Linked DNA regions of Pelodiscus sinensis. The protein of the gene in region 1 interacts with the protein of each later gene in a biochemical or structural test. Links are inferred from orthologs where the notes say so. Each region holds a gene or a part of one and is shown on either strand. Other genes may lie near its edges. The genes, in order: CASP3 and PANX1.

Region 1 (9,400 bases):
TGTAAAATCCCATTTAATTGGTTAACTGATTAAAGGGCAGGTAAGGGGCCCACTCCAGTCCAGGGCTGCTCCAGCCTGCTAAAACAACCCCTGTAGACAGGGACTGCTCTGGACAATTGGAACACCCCTTGCTGTGGAAGGCAGGGAGCTACTACTGCCTTCACCAGTTAACCAGAACTATAAGTTTCATCCAATAAAGGCAAGGCTTACTGGTTAAGCATTCACATCCTTTCTACCTACTAGATCAGAGGTGGATAATAAGTAATCCACAGGACAGATGAGGTTCACCAGGGTTAGCCTCTGGAGGATTGCCAGATGTTTTTTTTTTACTCACACATCCACATGTTCAGTCACTTGCAGCTCCTATTGTCCACAGTTGACAGAAAGGGAGTGGGAGAAGAGCAGAGGGTGCTTAAAAGTAGCAGCGCTGTTTGAAGCCTAGGGCCAGAACCTGGGCTCCACACAGCACTGCCCCTTTGAAATGCTGCATGAAGCCTGGGGCCAGCTAGGGTGGCCCCAGGCTGCATGTGGCATTTCAAAGTGTGTGGGAGTCCCCAGCTGACCCTGAACTCCATACAGCACTTTCACCTTTGAAGTGTAGCAACAGCCCTAGAGGGATTTATTAGCACAGATATAACCAAAGAGGCTGATGCTAAAGAGACCTATAGAATAGAACATTGATCTGTTACTGAAAAGAGTTCTCAGCAACATATCCCTGAACCTCATTACACTGGAGAATCATGTGTTTAAAATATTAGTACTGGACTATGGGTGAATGCCACATTAGAGCTCACTACATCCAGCTCATCAATCCTATTTCACTTAGATTTATCCCCATGTCTTAACCTATGTCTTTACAGCCTGTTCCCGTGTTACAAATGGTCGATTTACGACCGTTTGTACTTACGACCAAACCTCCCATTAAGCAGTCATAAAGGCGGTCCCCAAGTTTCGAACAGCACGGTTGCATGTAAATGAATGGGGTCCAACTTATGAACACTTCACCTTATGACCAAGTGTTTGGTCTGTAACTTGTTGGTAAGTTGGGGGACCAGCTGTACTGACAATTGAGCACCAAAACTTTTGTCATTCAGTGGTCCTAACCTCTCCTCCCCCTCCCAAAAGACAAAAGTTTTGCTGCAGCAAGCGTCAGTGTGAACAGTATCAGCAGGAGAACTCTTCTGTCAACAATGTGAACACTGCTCATTGGGGGTACCTTGTCAGCAAAAGTGCCAACAATCAGTGACTATACTGCCTGACTTTTAGTGACAGAGCTATGCCACTGAAGGCTGTGTAGCATAGACAAAGCCTTACACTTGCATTTTATGGTAAAGAAAGAAACACACTGCCACCAGGGAAATTCTCATAGCTCCCAGAAGAACTGATTAATGCAGTGGATTGTGATAGGAGTGACTGGTCCACTGTGTGAAGCAGAAGGGGAAGACTAACTGTACTATGACGTTGGTTCTGGATATCCAACACGCCAGTCATCTGAAGAAGTGGGCTGTGCCCACGAAAGCTCATGATACCATCTACATGTTTTGTTAGTCTTTAAAGTGCTACTAGACTGTTTGTTGTTTTTTAAGTTTGTACCATGATAGTGTTGTAAAGTTAGATCCTGTCAGAATTTGCTACTGGTAACACAATGACATACCACATGGTCTGTCAGAATTTGCTAACCATCACTAAGGCTAAGATTTTATCATTGTTAATTTTACTAAAAGTGACAAGCAAAATACAAAAATTCAGAGAGCTGTGACACTCAAAAATAATCTGGGGGCAGGGCTAGGTAAGGGGGAGGAATGGAGTCCCAGGGGAGAAAAGGGGGACTGACAGGCCGAGAACCCTGCCATGAGCCTCATTTCACTCAAGCACCATATATTTAAAGATTTAGCCCCGACTCCAGCAGCTGCAGGACATGGATGAGTAGCCCAGGTAGCAGTCGTCCCCCTCCCCAAACCTCAGCCACAGCTAGGAACACGTGGAGGGGGGAGAGAGGTAAAAATTAGTGGGCTGCCACAGGTGCATACTACCCCCATTTTCCTAGTGCAGCCCTTGACAAATGCCAGACTGAAGGACATGGCCCAAGCTGCAGTCCCCAATTAGAGCCACAAGTTGGGCTGCAGGGTCCTGGTTCCAGCCAGCCCTAGCTGCAGGGCAGGGGCACACAATCCCATCTCCACTTCCTGTAGCCCTATAATTTATACAAATAAAGATGCTGTGGCTTTACTTGGACTGCCATGACCTCTTCAAATAAATTGAAGCCTCACTCATCATCCTTGTCCATTTGATTGTCAGGGTACCTATCAGTATTTGATTACTGGCCAGGAAATAAGGATAGCAAGTTCTGTTAGATGACTGTCACAATTTTTCTACCCTTTCCCCTCTTTCTCCGTTCTTGTCCTCAGTAGTAACTTTAACAGAGGTAGAGATCCCTGTCAGATATCCCACTTACCTTTCTGCCTCCTCTAGACCTTTAGATGGCAGTTTATCCTCCAGTACTCACAATAGCTACTAGAAACGGTGCAGTAGCATAGCTGCATTTGTAAGAAAACACGAGGCAGGTTTACAAGACCGTGCCATTGTTTACATGGAGTCTCAGATTTGAATTCCAGTATTTATCAACTTGCCATACAACTGCCATTAACTGGGTTCAATGTCACTGTATTAAATGATTGAAGGATTAAGTAGGCACATATTGGCAGAGTTGTCACTGATATATGAAGAGAGAGATACATGTGTACATTTAGAGATCAATCATGCTTTGATTACCAAATTCTATAGGCTGTCAATAAAGATAGCAAGAAGAGAACCTTGTGTATGGGGGCTATTAGCAGGCTGCTGGCATAGAATACAGTAACCTCCAGAACTTAGTGAGGAATGGTGAAGGTCATGTCTCAAGAAACTCACAAGGAAGGGAAAAGAGGCGGTGACATTTTCAAGTCAGGGTGGTTAGTATGGAATAGGCTTAGTTTTTAATTTTACACCAAGGCTGCGTCTAGACTGGCAAGTTTTTCCACAAAAGCAGCCACTTTTGCGCAAAAGCTTGCCAGTTGGCTACACTGGCTTCTTGATTTTGCGCAAAAACACTGACGTTCTACTGTCTGAAATCAGTGCTTCTTGCGCAAATGCTTTGACGTTCCCGTTCAGGCAAAAGCCCTTTTCCGGAAATGTTTTTGTGCATGAGGGCCAGTGTAGACAGCTAAAAACTGTTTTGCGCAAAAAAGCCCCGTTGGCAAAAATGGCGATCGGGGCTTTCTTGCGCAAAACCGTGTCTAGATTGGCACGGACGCTTTTCCACAGAAAGTGCTTTTGCGGAAAAGCGTCCGTGCCAATTTAGATGCTCTTTTCCGCAAATGCTTTTAATGGAAAAACTTTTCCGTTAAAAGCATTTGCGGAAAATCATGCCAGTCTAGACGTAGCCCAGATGTAGGTACCTTCTGTTTGCTATATACCCAGACCACTGTTCCCTCTAAGCCACTGGTGGGCAACCTCCAGCACAGATGTGATAAATTGAGGTTATATGGGTAGCCTACAAGACATTTTGTTTACCACCGTTCATGCAGAGGATTGCTAGATGCTGCTAGCTTCCATTCACAGTGTTTTTTCCTACCGGTATTACTAATGTGACACAGGAAGTGAGGTGTGTGCTCATTTCACTCAACATTGACCGTAAAAACAGTGTGGTCCATCTGCATTCAAAGTGCTGCTGTGATTCAAACAGTACCTGCTGCAAATTCTAGGTATGCAAGCGGAGTTGGCAAAACTACCCTAACCCAGGAGACAGTGTTTGTAACAACCTTATGGCCCAGTAAGATGAAGGAGGGCTACACACACGATGCATTCACTAGCCTAGGTGAGTCTGTCTCCATTGCTGTGCTAAGCCATGCACTCAGGTGGCCACCCAGGAGAAATTCAAATATCACCCAGCTAATTAGCAGAGTGCCCACAGCTGACAGCATGTGCTTCTTCTGGTGGCACTCATCTGCACATGCCTCTGTATAGATAACAAAAAGTTTATTCTGTAGACAAGTGGGAAAAGTGAAGGGAACATTGCCTCTGACCTAAATCCTAGTTTCACAAGAGCAAAAACAGATGTAGTCCACTGTAAGTGTGGTTTCCAGGGAACAGGGTACTACTGAGGCCATCAGAGCACCAACTAAAATAAATTTTCTGAGCTGCTATTAAGCTGTGCGTGTTTCCCTTGGGTAAACTGACAAGGAATTAATGTCACGTCAAAGATAGGTTTGATACTCCTGGAGAGCCTTCAGAGGACGGGTGTGAAATATTTCACTAAAGCCAGTCTCCTCCCCTGGCAGCGCAGCAATTCAACTTTGAAAATAAAAAGCTGCAGAGCCTACTCTGCAGCGTGGAGAGCACAGCTGGCGGGAGGCGGCGCAGGGCTTCCCTTTCTCTACCCCCCCCCCCCAACCCAACCCCAACAGCCCGCGCTCTGCGCGGGGTCACTTCCGCGGCTCCGGTCTGGCCACTTGTCTCCCCCTTTCATAGCCCCACCCCGGCTCTGATTTCGGCGCCTATTTCCCTCCCCACCCGCACAAGGGCTGCCCGCCTCGCCCTGCGACCAGCCCCCGCTCCCCCTTCACAGCGCGAGCCCGACTCACCTGGGGGTGCGGGGAGAGACACGCTCGCCAGCTCAGCGCGCCCTGGCCGCCCTTTGAAACAGCCGCCGCCCCGCGCCCCCTCCCCCAGCTGGGCGGGGCCGGGGCGGAGCTGAGCGCGCAGTTGAGTCCAACCGACACCCGCCCGCAGCGCGCGTGCGTCTGGATCCGAGGGGAAGCGGCAGCCGGCGGAGGCAGGTCGGCGGCCGTGTGGGGCGCGGGGCGGCGGGCAGCGATCGAGCGGGGGGGTCCCCGTGCCGGGGGCGGGCGCGTTGCCGGAGCCTGGCTGCTCGCATGGCGGCGCGGCCCCGCTTGGCCCGGGCAGTTCCTGCCCCGCCGCCTTGGGGCGAACAAAGAGCAGGGGCGGCGCCGCTCCCCAGGGCGGGCTCGGAGCGAGCCCGGGACTCCGCGGCCCGCTCAGAAAAGGGGCCTCGGCTCGTCCTCGCCGCCTCGCCCCCGTGCGTGGGAGCAATAGACAATCCGGGGTCACTGCCCCGAGGCATCTGCCCCCCCTCTCCTCGCGCGCGCCTTTCCCCAGCCCCCCGCCCCCGCCCCCCCCCCCGCCGCGGAAATGCGGCCGCTTCTGGGGTGCGAAGTGTCCTGTGCCTGTGCAGAGCGAGAGGATGCGCTAACGGGGTGCGCTTGGGCCAGTCACCTCCCGCGAAAAAATTAGTCAGTTATTTCTGTGCGAGGCACTAGCCCGGGAGCTCCTTTCAGTTTAGCTTATTTCATGTGGGCTGGTTCTGAAATAATTCCAGGAAATTTCCAAATGTAGACAAGCCCGGACCCATACTGCATTACAGTGTCAAAGATGAGAGTAAGGAACAGTAAAAGTTAATATATGGATGTAATAGGAATTAAAGAATATAATGTTTATAATATAATGCAAGAGGCTTTCCTTTTCCTCTTATCTGCAACTAGAGTCACAGGCTGTGTCTAGACTGGCAAGTTTTTCCAGCAACTTGCCAGCTGTCTACACTGGCCACTTGAATTTCCGCAAGAACACTGACGATCTCATATAAGAAAACAGTGCTTCTTGCGGAAATACTATGCTGCTCCTGTTTGGGCAAAAGTCCTTTTGTGCAAAAGGGCCAGTGTAGACAGCTGAGATTAGTTTTGCACAGAAAAGCCCTGATTGTGAAAATGGCGATTGGGGCTTTTTTGCGCAAAAGCACGTCTAGATTGGCACGGACGCTTTTCCGCAAAAAGTGCTTTAGCAGAAAAGCGTCCGTGCCAATCTAGACGCTCTTTTCCACAAATGCTTTTAATGGAAAACTTTTCCGTTAAAAGCATTTGCGGAAAATCATGCCAGTCTAGACGTAGCCACAGTGTTTCTCAACCTTTTTTTATAAAATACCCCCCTTTAAAAATATATATAAGTACCCCCAGTACCTACAGTTTTCAGAGACACACGCTTTTTTTCTACAATTGTAACATATTTGTTTAAACAACTTAATCGTAGCCAGGCGGGTGATTAAATTTTTGATTGTAAAAAGTACAAAAATAATAAAATGCTGTAAAACTTAAAACAAAAATTCATTTTTCTCCAAATTTCAGTTGTGTTGATGTACCCCCCAGACTTCTCTCCCACTGAAGGTACTCATACTGGTTGAGAAACACTGGACTAGTCCAACCGTTTTCAGTTTTCTAGTGTTCGTTTCTGTCTTTCCTATTCCTTCACAGTGCTGTAGGAAAATGTTGAAATCTAAGTGACTAATTGAATTGACTTTAAGGTTTTGTTTGGAAATAGTAATGATAAATTAAACTAAAGGTCTAATATTTCTGGTGTTTTACTGTCCACATATAGCAGTGGTTTTCAAACTTTTTGGCTTGTGGCCCACTTAGGTCAATGCAAACCTTTCCATGGATCACCAATTGCTAATGGAAACTCGTTAATTACACACAAGTCATTTTGCTAGTGCTGAAGCTAGGGAGAATTGTTTAATTTAACCAGTAAGAAAGGAAATATTAATTTAAATTATTAAACAGATTAAGCACTTGAACTTTATCATGGTAGTTTACCAAACGTCATTTTAAATAAAGTTAAATATTAATTTATGTCCAACACAAAAGGTTCCCATGTTTACTTTATGGCAGGGGTAGGAAACCTTTTTTGTATTGATTGTCACCGGCCCACAGAAAAATCAGTTGGGGACCACACAAGTGAGTAGAAAAAAAAACCCTCAAAAAATCCCCCAACCCTCACTGATGTGGCCCCCAACTGAGATACTTCATTCCTCTGGTGCTCCAGCCCCATTGGGGAAGGGGGAGGGCCAGGGAGGACTGAATGTTCAGTGCTTCCCAGAGACCAGATTTGCTCTTTTGAGGTTCCAGAGTTAGTGGATTTTGTGGACCCTCCCCCCAGGCTCTGGGGTTGGGCCAAAAAATGAGGGGTTCAGTGTATGGGACAGCTGCCAGTGAGAGGAATTGGGGGTGTAGGATCTGGGTGGGAGGTGAGGTGCAGGAGGTGGTGAGGGTTTGAGGTCTGGATGGTAGGTAGTGTGCAGGAGCAGGCTTGGGAATAGGGTGTCTAGCCAGGGGTTGGGAGCAAGTGCAAGGGAAGATGCATTGTGTGGCCTACAGAAGTTAAAATTAGATTAATGAACTAATCCAGGGGTGGCCAACCCGTGGTTCTTCAAAGGAAAAATTACTGTTCCTGCACACGCAGCTCTTAAAGAGGCAGCATTTTTGTTTGGTTGGTTTGTGGGTTTTTTGTTTTTTGTTGGTTTTTTTGCTCAACTTTCCGGCCGACGGAAGCTTGGGTCACACATGGCTGGTAAAGAGGCAGCTTTTTTTGTTTGTTTGTTTGTTTGTTTTGCTCAGCAACTTCTTTCCCTTTGCTCTTTCCATTGTATCCACCACTGTTTTGGCTCTTTGTCTGTAATGGGGTTGGCCACCCTGAACTAATCAATTACTCAATTGGATTTCCATCAACTATTCGATTAGTTGATAAGGGCACCTCTGCCATTGAACTGTAGCAAGAATCCTGCCTTTTGTTACAGTTCAAAAGTGAAAACCCCACAGAGCTCTTGTATGTTTCAAAAGTAGAAGCCCCACAGGGAGCCTGGAGCCAACAAGCTCCTCTCCCCTCTCTCTACTAACATATAGTAATACTAAATTACAGTGTAGGACAGAAAACTGGCTGCAGCATTTACCCACTTTTTTTTTTTAGAATCTTTAATGAAAAACGGTACCTCAACTCATTTTTCCAGAGCAGGAAGGTGGGGCATTGGAGGTTTAGGAAAGCCTATCTTGATACACACAAGTAGCCATGTATCCCTCCTTGAAATTAGAGTCAGTCTGTTTAGGTAGGTCTGCCCACATGTAACAGAGTGTGGAATTAGCACTTTAAAAGGAAAAGGTTAGTATTTGCTCGGTCACTGACATAGTACAAATAATAATAATGTGCTTCAGAGGAGTAGCCAAGTTAGTCCATAACAGGAAAAACTTAAGCAACAAAGTCTAGTAGCACTTTAAAGACTAACAAAACATGTAGATGGTATCATGAGCTTTCGTGGGCACAACCCACTTCTTCAGGTGACCAGAGTGTTGCCCCCAAATCCCGCTTTGCCTCCTGCATTTATAATAGTGTTAAATATTTTTAAACGTGTTTTTAATTTATAAGAATGGTTGAAGTCAGAGGCTTGGTGTGTGGAAGGAGTCACCAGTACAAAAGTTTGAGAACCACTCTTTCTCCTACTAGGAAGAGTGAGAATGATATTTCTGCCAGACTGCTGTCACTGGACTCTGCCTTGTGATCCAATAGGTATCTGAGAAATTTGAACTACTCCTCACTCTAAGAGCCTCTACCAGATGCTCAGATACTATGGTAATAAGCAGGGCATGACAAACGGTGGCGAAACCTACTCGCCAGGCAAGACCTGCATTGCACATGCGCGTGCTGCTGGTGAATGGAGGCGGCCGGCTGAAATTTACTCGCTATGGGCGAGTAGATTCAGTGATTTGTCGAGCCCTGATAATAAGTATAGTATAAGACTCTATGTAGTAGATAAGAGGTTATCTACTATTCTAATCAGCCTCCAGGCTTGATTTTATTATAGCTGCTTCTCAAGTTGCAGTATGAAATTGACATAATTCTTGATAGTTTTACTACAGCCCAATGGATTAGAGTAGCATCAAGGAAATTGACTGATTGTATTAACTTCACTTTTGTGACTGGTAAAATTATTAACTTAGAGTCCAACTGTATAAACTCCATTAACTTCAGTAAGCCTTTGAATAGGCACATGGAGACACATAACTCTACTTATCAATCACTATATATCAACATAAATTGCCACCAGTAGAGCCCAGTGCTTGGAAGAGAGTGTTTAAGAGTGCTCTTGGATTCCTTGCTGATGCTAAATTCTCACATAGTAATATTCATCAGTGACTTTTTACCATCTCTGGTTGGATAGGAAACTGCCTCATCCTGACCAACAATAAGTTCTACACAGTTCTACAGGTCTTTATCACATCCTCAGGCAAAGTGGAACTCTACCTTAAAGGTAAAGCACTTCTGTGCAGGAGATAAGGGGTAGTCAATTATTTTTTGTCACGGTCCAGATTTCTTGGTCAAGGTATAGTCAAGATCTAGACTCCAGTGAAAATAACAGTAATGATATAACATGTAAATAAAATATTTGGGGTTCATTAAAAATGTCTGGCTCATAGTCCACTTGTTTACTGTTCATGCTCTCTAAAATAGCCTAATACTCAAATATTTCCACCTTAATATTGTAATCTGAATAGGTAGTTTAAAATAGTTCTGAGAAATTAAT
Region 2 (10,097 bases), on another chromosome or scaffold:
AGTCCTATCAGTCAACAGTGATCATTGGTTTTAGTGGAAATTGTGAGCAAGTCCATTTAATACAATGCAAAAGCAAGTCCATTTAATTTATGTTATGCTTGAGAACTTTTCACATCAAGTCATTTGGAAATCTAACATGCAGAGAATATTTTCATTTCATTGCTGGTAAAAACTTTATAAACTCTTCTCAGGAGACACATTCTTGCATGGAAATACGTTTATTGGGCACACCCTGTCCACAAGTAAGGTAATAAATACAGATGCTCCACAGCTGCTACAGCACATTCAGTGGCTGCTGCACCCCTCCTCTGTAGAAGGAGGAGGAATACAATGGATTTCGACCATAGCAATTGTAAGGTTAAACTGAAATTATCCTTCATGGTTCACTGTGAATCTGTTCTGTAATTTGCACTTATTCTGGGTTTGAAACTTCTATTGATATGAGTGAAAGCATGCAGAACTAATGCGACAGAGATCTCTGTTGTTTATAAGAAAGGGAAATTTTGCCCTTAATCTACTGGCAATCTCTGCACATTACCCAGGTAGAATAATTGATGTATTCACTGTTTTCTCAGATTATGAAATCTGCTTCTTTGTACAGTTTTCAGCCTAAGTAAGCTTTAATTGTTTTACACAGACAACACAGTTCCTTTAAAAGGAGGAGTAACCGCTACAGCATATGACACAATTACTGTAAAACACAAGGCTCCTGTAAAGGGTATGGATCTCTTTTATTTAAATAATATAAACTTCAGCAGGTGGATGTATGGATTACTTACATGGTACTTTTTCTTTTGGCAGATGGTGATCAAAAAGGAATCAACTTCTTAGGCAAAACTCTGGGTGCAAGAGAAGCAAACTCAGTGCTCATAGCACTTTTTTCCATTGGCCTTGTCCTTCTGATCGCAATATTAATCTTCATCATCCTCATCACTTTCCAGAGAAAAAGGGTATATTACAGGACTGTGCAACCTAAGTGTGCACTCCCAACCGATTCCCTATAAATCTGTATTTTGAGGACCATTTATAGAGCTGTGTTGGATTTCATTGTATATTGTTGGTATAAATAAGGCAAGATACATGTTTGTGAGAGCCCAATCCTGCAGCCATGAAGCCACGTATGACATGGGCTGCATGTTTAAGCCCTGGTGACCATATCCTGCTTGTCTGTGCAGGCTGATTCTACTCTATGGAAGTCAGTGTGAGTTGAATTCAATGGGAGCCATCTCAGACGTCTATTCAAATGGTCCCACTGATGCCAATGTGACTGCTCACTTGAGTTAGGCAAGCAAGATTTGACTCTGACATATGAAAAAATGTATTAGGCTTCTGATTCTTTTGATGCTGTAAAATATAGTCAATCAATATTATTTTGAATTTGACTTGGATTGTGACTGGAGCCATGTGAAACTTAGCAGGGGATTGTGCAAGCCTGTTCTCCTGTTTCAGTTCATGTTTAATTATGATGGTGATTCTTGTTCAAATAAACAGTAAAACATATTGAGAAACCTGATCAAACTTACAACAAAGCCCAGGCTTTTCTTTTTATGCAAACTCGTATTGGCCGTAGATTCCCTCAAAAGATTGACAAGCCTCAGTGAACATGTTGACCCAGATGGATTAACTTTCTAGGGCTCACAAGGCTTCCCCTGGAGTTAATATGAACAGGAAGTGGGACCTGATCGTTGAAGGCAATGTAAAAACTCTTATTGGCTTCAGTGACTTTGGATCAGGTCATGACCCTGATTCTTAATGAACCCAAAACAAGTAACAAGAGTTTTGTGTGGTTTCTGTTTCACACAGCTCTAATGGTGAATCACTTTCAAATAAGTATACAAACATATTGGCTTTAAAGAGATTTTAACAGAATCTTGTGCTTAAAAAGTAATACACAGGACCAAATTATGCCCTCGAGTTCAGTACATCATCTTAGTGTTTCCAGTGAGTGCAATGTTTGCATGGGTGTTTATGAAGGCAAAATTTGGCCCATAATCCCTGTGATACAATAGTTATGTAATGGGATCTCCATTGGGTAATGCTATATTAAGCTATTTTCAGTGTGCCAGATTTTGAAAGTGCTTGTTCAAATCTAGAACATTTGAGTCATTGCAGCTACCCCCTAATGACAAAAACAGAATCTGGCCCACTGAACCTATCAAAGGTTAAGAGGGCTTTTTCTTTTCCCATTAAGTAAGATTGCTGTGTTTTGGGGTTGGTGGCCTTGGGTTACTAAAAAGAAAGTAGTCTGGTTTTGTAACTATTGCTTATTGTGGGCTTGATTCTGTGATGCTTACTTACACTTGTAGTAGCTTAATCCCTGATTTTTCAATGAGACTATTCAGGAAGTCAAGTACTTAATGTAAGAGTGATAGAATAAGGCAGGTCTAATATATAATGATACCCATGGGTGACTGGTGAGGGAGGACCTGGAGAGCCACCATCCACATGACCGGCCCCTCAGACCATGTGACAACCTGGGACAACCTCACTTCCATCCCAAGCCCCACCTTTCCCTGCGCCTGCTCTGCCTGCTTCTCATACCTGCCCTGCCTCTATGCAGCCTGAGATACTATGGGGGGGTCCCCCCTCACTCACTGGCAGAGGCTGGGGAAGTGGACTAATGTGGCCCCAGCTCGTTGTGCTCCCCAGGCCGCATCACTCCATTTCCTGCCAGCGAGTGCAGAGACAGTCCCACCTCTCCCCCAAGAAACACAGCCAGCGGAGCAGTGAAAGCTGCGGCTGCATTTTTCCACTTTCATCGCCACTGCTGGTGGTGAGTGTGGGGGGGGAGGGGAAGACCCCTGCTACTGATGTGAGCCTCCCCCCCCTTCTCATATTCTTGGACACCCAAGGAATCTGTCCCCGGTGGCTGCTTGCTGACCCCTTGCAACTCCTGCCCATGGCTTTAGGAATGCGCATGCCCCTTTGTGCTCTCTGTGCAATGCCCTGGTGATACTTGAATGTTTACAGCTCATTTCTGAATGAGCTATTGTTTATTCCTGCCACACAGATGTTCATGTCACCTACAACATTGGTGGATGAACTACAGAACTAAAGCAACCTTTCAGTTATGAATAGTTTATCTGAGTTTTTTTTACAATGTAAATTCAAGTTGGTGCACAATGTCATTTTTTTTCTCTTCTGTATTTAAAAATATGCTGCATCCTTGTAGGGAACTTTACTGACAATCACTTTGAATGTAGGTTAGTGGTGTTCTGGATTAATGCCCAAATCACCAAGGCTACGTCTACACTGGCCCCTCTTCCGGAAGGGGCATGTAAATTTCACGAGTCGTCGTAGGGAAATCCGCGGGGGATTTAAATATCCCCCGCGGCATTTAAATAAAAATGTCCGCCGCTTTTTTCCGGCTTTTAAAAAAGCCGGAAAAGAGCGTCTAGACTGGCCCCGATCCTCCGGAAAAAGTGCCCTTTTCCGGAGGCTCTTATTCCTACTTCAAAGTACTTTGAAGTAGGAATAAGAGCCTCCGGAAAAGGGCACTTTTTCCGGAGGATCGGGGCCAGTCTAGACGCTCTTTTCCGGCTTTTTTAAAAGCCGGAAAAAAGCGGCGGACATTTTTATTTAAATGCCGCGGGGGATATTTAAATCCCCCGCGGATTTCCCTACGACGACTCGTGAAATTTACATGCCCCTTCCGGAAGAGGGGCCAGTGTAGACGTAGCCCAACAGATAAAAGGTGTTAAAACAAAATCCTTGAGGTGCAGCTGTTTCTTGTTGTTTCTTTGGTCCTTTTGTTTCCTTCCAGTTTTTAAAAAAGCAAACAAAAATTCTAGATAAAAGGCCTGATCTTGCAACCTTTACTCATTTAAAATATTCTTTGAGAACATCAACTTGTGTGAGCTAGAGTGACAGGACTGGGCTCAAAATTAGGGTAGCAATTACATTGTACCACAAGCACTCCTTCAATCATTACTTTTAAAGCTTCCTTTATACTGGCTAAGCGTAATACCATTCGGGGGAACCACAGACATTCTAAAGACTAGTTTCTTTCCAACATGTAACCCACTAGCATTGAGGTCTGCTGTTCTTTGTTAAATACTGTCCAGAATGCTTGCATACCATATACAAAGAGAGTTACAGCTTTCACCCATGATGCAACATAAATAAAGCAATATTGTTTAAGTATTTCCATATGTGTTTGATGTTTATAACTGAATCATAAAACATTTAAATAAGATTTAATGCAGTGATTCTCAAAGAGTTACATGTTTATTATTACATGTGGATTGTGAATACATGCTCAAAAAAGAGAGCAGTTGCTATAGAATATATAACTTAAATCTACTGTTTTAGAAAGTTACACTACCTTTCCTCGGCAATGTAGTGTATTTACTTTAAAAAGTACTGTAAATGTATAATGCAGCAATCATTCCTAAATAAAATATATTGTTGTATTATCACTACTTTAAGGAGATGGGACTTTTAGGATTGTAGTATTGTGCTTGCAGGTTTGTAGTCTTGAGACTAAACAGGTGGAACTGAGACAACATTAGAGGGCTTGATTGTTCAGCAGCTGAAGAGCGAATTAAACCACAGACCAATCAGAACACTGAGATCAGCAAAAAGAAAGTAATTTATAATTCACTGCTGTGAAAAGTGATATTGACAAAATTATTTCATACCACTCCCATATTAAGCAGTAATTATTTATAAAATAAACTTTCTGCTTATAAGAACAATCTGCTATATATTTGAAAGAGTTTGACCACCAAATTTGGTATACAGATTCCTCTTACTAGAACATAAAGCAAGGTGGGGGTTTGGTTGTGCCAAGAAAATGGGATGTGCCTGGAATGGGATTGCTTCTCAGAAAACCATACAAAAAAAGTCACCAGGCAGGTTAAAGGGGCTGGCTTCGGGAGCCCCCTTCCACTCCTTATCTGGGACTGCTCCAGCTCCAATCCTCCCACTTCTGAAGTGCCCTTTAGGGAGAGTGGGGGGAGACATTGTTACTTTGTACTTCCCAACCTTCCTCTCTGTTTAGTTGTTTTATCTTACCAGATGCTCAGAGTATAAACTTTTTGTAGCAGAATCTGTATTTTATTACATGTGTACTGCATCTAACAATATGGGACTGACTGCTCCCATTTTCTAGAGGAGCTTTGTGAAATAGGATAATATTCTTACTTCAGGTGCAAATCCCAAATAAGCTTTCCAGGACAGCATATTTCCATTTTAGTCTGAACATCAGGAAAATGTCTATGCTAAGGTCTTGACAGACTGTAGACTAATCTTGCTAGAAAGAAGCCCTTCTGATCAAATCATGTACAGTTGAACTGGAGAATATTTACAAACAAAAGCAGGGGCACTGAGGCAGACATCATCCATGCCTTCTACTAGATGCTAAAATCCAACAGACAAAAAAGGTAGGTTAACTGTCTTGTTAGAATCATATATGGAATTTCAGCTGAAGTGAATGAGGATTCTGCATGACAGAGCATTTGAAATACTCATCATTTTCATCATTAATTTAATCATGAAAGTAGGTTACCCCTTTAAAAATCAATGAACCAGTAACACATCAATCTGGTTCCACTGGTTCTGGGCTTTCTGGTGGTGGAGAAAGCCGCAGTTTATCCCATAAACAGAAGGGAATGGAGGTCACTAGACTCAATCCAAAACAAAAATTCCCACAGAAAGTGAACCTTTCAGAGACCAGATGGTTTAGACAGAGATTTTCTTGTCTCTCCCTGTAGAAATAAGCCATTAGCATTCAATCAGACAGTTGCCATTGCACACACTTTCTATATGGAGTATTACAGGCTGCAGAGCAGCCAGCTAGCCATAATAATACATGTTGCAACTTGTAAGAAGCACTGGGAGTAAACCAGGGCTTAATTTGTAATGAAAGAGGTGCTGGGGCTCAAGCAATGTTTACATTTATAACTGACGCAGCAAGCCCAGAGGTACAAGGGCTATGAACTGCCAAGCCTAAAGGTGCTAGGGCACAGCCTTGGCAAAAAGTAAGTACTGGAATAATCTCTGATGTAACTCCAGTGCTTTGGCTTAAATTCAGTGGGGGCTGCCACAATTTATATGCAAAGGATTAACCTGCCCACAGACTTCTAATCTCCCCGCGAGAGCTTTGGCTTGTTTCTCTGCTCGCCCTGCGGCAAGCCAGGCGTAACGCCGCTGAAATCAGGCGCGACGCTGGTTTAAAACCATCGCGGCTGGAGGCCCAGGCTCTTTGGCCGCTGGTACCGTTCCTTTCTGCATGCACAACTGTTCTCCAGTGGATGTGCCACGCAGAGACCCTGCTCCCCCAAACCACAACGCGGCAGCTCCACAAGGTAGCTCGGGAGGAGAAATGGGACCGGGGGCACCTCATCTCACCCCAGTTCTTGCCTGAGGGAGGGCCCGCGGGGCTGTGGTGAGACATGGATCGGACACTCCCGCGTGGGCCCAATCCTGCCAGCCCCTCCCCATGCTCTGCGGGCACAACCAGGCGCTCTGACCGCACGCCCGGGCAGAGCGAGGGCAGCAGCCCGCCCGTTGCCGCGCGCATGCTCACTACAGCCCGAGTAGCGAACGCCGCGAGGCCGTTGCTGGCCCGAGGCCCCGGGGCGGGAGGAGGCGCCTGGGCGAGGTGAGGGCGACGCGAGCCGGACAAAGGGCGGGAGGCGCGAGCAGGAAGCGAAAGGGAAGGAGGCCGGCGCGCCTAGGCCCGGCCGCGGGGTGCTGAGGGCGCCCCCGGCCCGCCATGGCCATCGCCCACATCGCCACCGAGTACGTCTTCTCCGACTTCCTGCTGAAGGAGCCCGCCGAGCCCAAGTACAAGGGGCTGCGGCTGGAGCTGGCGCTGGACAAGCTGGTCACCTGCGCGGCCGTGGGGCTGCCGCTGCTGCTCATCTCGCTGGCCTTCGCGCAGGAGATCTCCACAGGTACCCGCCCCGCCCCGCCTCGCCTGCGGGCTCCAGCCGGGCTCGGCCCCTGCCCCTGGGGGCGCTCTGACAGCTCTCGGTGTCTGGTCCTAGCGCGCCGGGGTGCAGCCCCGAGCCTCGCCCTGCTCCCTGCCTGCCGCAGGTCGGGCTGCATCGGCGCGCAGGGGAGCGTCACACGGGTCAGCAGAGAATCTGACCTGGCCCCGGGCCGGACAAGAGTGGGGCTAGGAGCCGCGAGTGGGCTTTAGGAAATGATGCTGTGCAGCCAGTTGGCTTTCCTGCCCCGCTGGCGATGCGGAACCAGTCACCGTTCAGAACCGGGTTGAATTCATACACATTGCATCACATTGACTTGAATTTTAACATGCAGGCGAGCAGAGAGATGGTTCGAGTAAACGTGCTGCATCCAATTAAAATATCCTCCCTAAGGGAAGAAGAGGAAGAGAAAACTAGATAGCACATCTATGTAGAGACCGGAGCAGATTCTGTATTACAGATTGCAGGCTAAATGGGACAGAGCTGTCAGACTGATCAGGGCGCATGGGAGAGGAATGTATCTGAATAATTAAAATTATAGTTCTGCTTTGCTGTGAATAGAGTGGCTGGTTACAGATGAACTGCGCTTAGGGCTTAAGAAAAGCTGATAGAAATGTCTTTTTTTTTTTAAGGAACTGAGTCTTCTTTTGTGTGTGACTTATCAGCCTTCGCATTGTGTCTTTACAATATTCAGTGTTCCACTTCCAGACCAGTGGTTCCCAAACTTTTCGGCATTATGCCCCCTTTTTGATTTTTGAGAAACCCTCGCGCCCTCCCCCCCTCCAAAAAAATAACATCAAAATTTGGAGTGGGATTGACGAGGGTGTGTGAGACTAGGTCACCTGGCGCTACCCCTGGAATTTCTTCATGCCCCCCAGTTTGGGAACCTATGTCCTAGACTGATACATTTTTGCTCTAAAAAAATGACAAAATCATTGTGGTAGATAATCAGGTCCCAGTATGGTCAGAAGAGGTACAGTGTTGCAATTCTGGGATAAATATATAGGGGGTATCTCAATTAGAAGCAGAGAGATTATTATACAGGTTGGACCTCTCTAGTCTGGCACCCTTGGGACCTGACCGTCCCGAATGAGGGAATTTGCCAGAGCAGGGAAGGTTTCCTCTTATCAGCCCCTCAGCCCACTAACCCTCCCTGCTGTCCCAGCCATTGTCCCTGCTGAGTTGCAGTGACCCAGCTCTCTTGCCAAGCTCCATTACCAGAACTGCTGCAGCCCTGGACATTAGGGCAGGCCCTAGCCACTGGAGCAGTCCTCAACTTTGGCTACTGGGGTGATTTCACTGCCAGGATGGTCAGGTCCCAGCCCTGCTGCTGCAAGCCACTCCCATCCCTGGTCTCCCAGCCTAACAGGGCTCCCAGCTGCCGGCCTTCCTGCCACAGGAATCCCAGCCGGGAATTTCCTGGTCCCAGTTTTTGGAGGTCCAACCTGTACCTCTCTGTTTGGCACTGGTACTAGCACTGCTGGAATACAATACTCAGGTCAGCTGTCCACACTTCAGGAAGGTTATTGATAAACTGGAGAGTGATCAGAGAAGATCCACACAAAATTTTAAATAATTAGGAAACATATCTTATAATGATAGACTTAAAAAGCTCAATCTAGTTGCTGGCCTTCCAATCTATGAATCAGGTACATGCAATATGTTACAAAATTCTCATTGAATTCTGTTGGAATTTCATGCATTTAATGACACGTAAAGATGGCCCATAATTTATACACTGGCAGAGGCTTATAAAACAAAGCTTTATTACACAGCTAAAAAAGAGTGATTATATAATATTTGTATTTATCTCAGATACTTGGATATGTGTCCGTATTGGAGACAGTAGGTGACAATCTAGATAAGTTGCTATCTGCTCTTTCACTTTCAACTTCATTTAACCACTAATATCTCATTGTGGTCACACTTGAAAAAATAATGTAAATTTGATTTACAGCTTTATTAATGCTTTCAGTTGGATTTCAGTAAACTGTCATGGGTATTTTCTTGACCTTCATTACTGTGGTATCTATGGGTCTCGCTATCATTAAATTTTTCTTCAAGGGATCATTCATGTCAATTCCAATCAGATGTGTGCTTGCCCACATGCACAGTAAGGATGTAAGTGACTAGTAGCAACTATCAGAGACAGTGGAAGGGGAAGGGAGCAGGAGCCAGTGTTGAGGAGAGCCGGCTCCCCCAGCACTGTCTCTCCAGTGGGCAGCGGAGGTAGAGGCACAGTGGGAAACAGCACAAGCGGGGAATGAAGCAGTCTCCACTTGCGCCTCTTCTGCTGCAATTCTGCTTTTGAAATGTACAAGAATTCCACTGGGGCTCTTGTACATTTCGAAAGTTTAGGCATGGCAGGGAGTACCTGGTTAGTCCCCTGTTGGCTCCGCACTCCCTGTGGGGCTTCCACTTTTGAACTGTAGCAAGGCGCCCTTATAAACTAATCGAATAGTCAATGGGATTTCCATTGACTATTGTGACGACGCGTTGGGGTACCCCCGACTTCTGCACCCCCGTAATGGCACGAACGGACTCCACCAGCCAGTAGAATAGAGGGAGTTTATTGCTTCTCCAGGATACAGCACAGATGTAATTTGGTTACAGGGCAGGCCTAGGATGCCTCAGCCCCCCTTGAGATGGGGGATAGTGGGCCCCTAAATTCCAGCCCCCTTCCCTAGGCTGTCTCCTCCATGATCCCAGACAGAAAACTAACTGTCTTCCAGCCCTGCCCCCCCAGCCAGGGGCAGCATTCCACCTTCCCTTGTTTCTCCCCATGGGGGGTAGCTGGTCAGACAGGTTTGGAGCCCCCTTTGCATAATGACTCACCTCCTGCCCTGCTGGGTCGTGGTTCGGACAGCAGAGGTCGCCCCCTGCCCAGCATAGCAACGAACAAGGCACCCCCACTACGTCACAACTATTCAATTATTTAATCTAAATTTAACACCCCTAGTGCACAGAAGCTGGAACGTTTTTCCCTACGAGAGCCATAGGATTGGTTTTCATGGCGCCGTGCTGACCTGTTGCCCTTTCAGTTCCTTCTTACTGTCAGTGATATAATAGCTGGAACTTCCCTCTGTCTTGCTCTGGCAAGAGACTTAGCAGTTTGACTTCTTCTGTTTTCTCAGTTAGTATAGTAGTTCATAGTTGATTAGT

What was found.
Region 2: of the proteins of CASP3 (region 1) and PANX1, one has a biochemical effect on the other in vitro, tested with the Homo sapiens proteins (2 studies listed by IntAct). The link is inferred for Pelodiscus sinensis from reciprocal best matches to the Homo sapiens genes CASP3 and PANX1.

What each region holds. Positions count from the first base shown.
Region 1 is NC_134715.1:76,147,623-76,157,022, reverse strand, and holds the start of CASP3 (caspase-3), read left to right. Parts: upstream 1-4,688; 5' UTR 4,689-4,813; exon of another isoform or gene 4,814-4,817; intron 4,818-9,042; exon of another isoform or gene 9,043-9,127; intron 9,128-9,400. UniProt on the Homo sapiens protein: Thiol protease that acts as a major effector caspase involved in the execution phase of apoptosis. Following cleavage and activation by initiator caspases (CASP8, CASP9 and/or CASP10), mediates execution of apoptosis by catalyzing cleavage of many proteins.
Region 2 is NC_134711.1:305,531,928-305,542,024, forward strand, and holds the start of PANX1 (pannexin-1), read left to right. Parts: upstream 1-6,344; 5' UTR 6,345-6,718; coding exon 6,719-6,899; intron 6,900-10,097. Other genes in the region: ferroxidase HEPHL1, read left to right, coding at 638-718, 802-1,004. UniProt on the Homo sapiens protein: Ion channel involved in a variety of physiological functions such as blood pressure regulation, apoptotic cell clearance and oogenesis.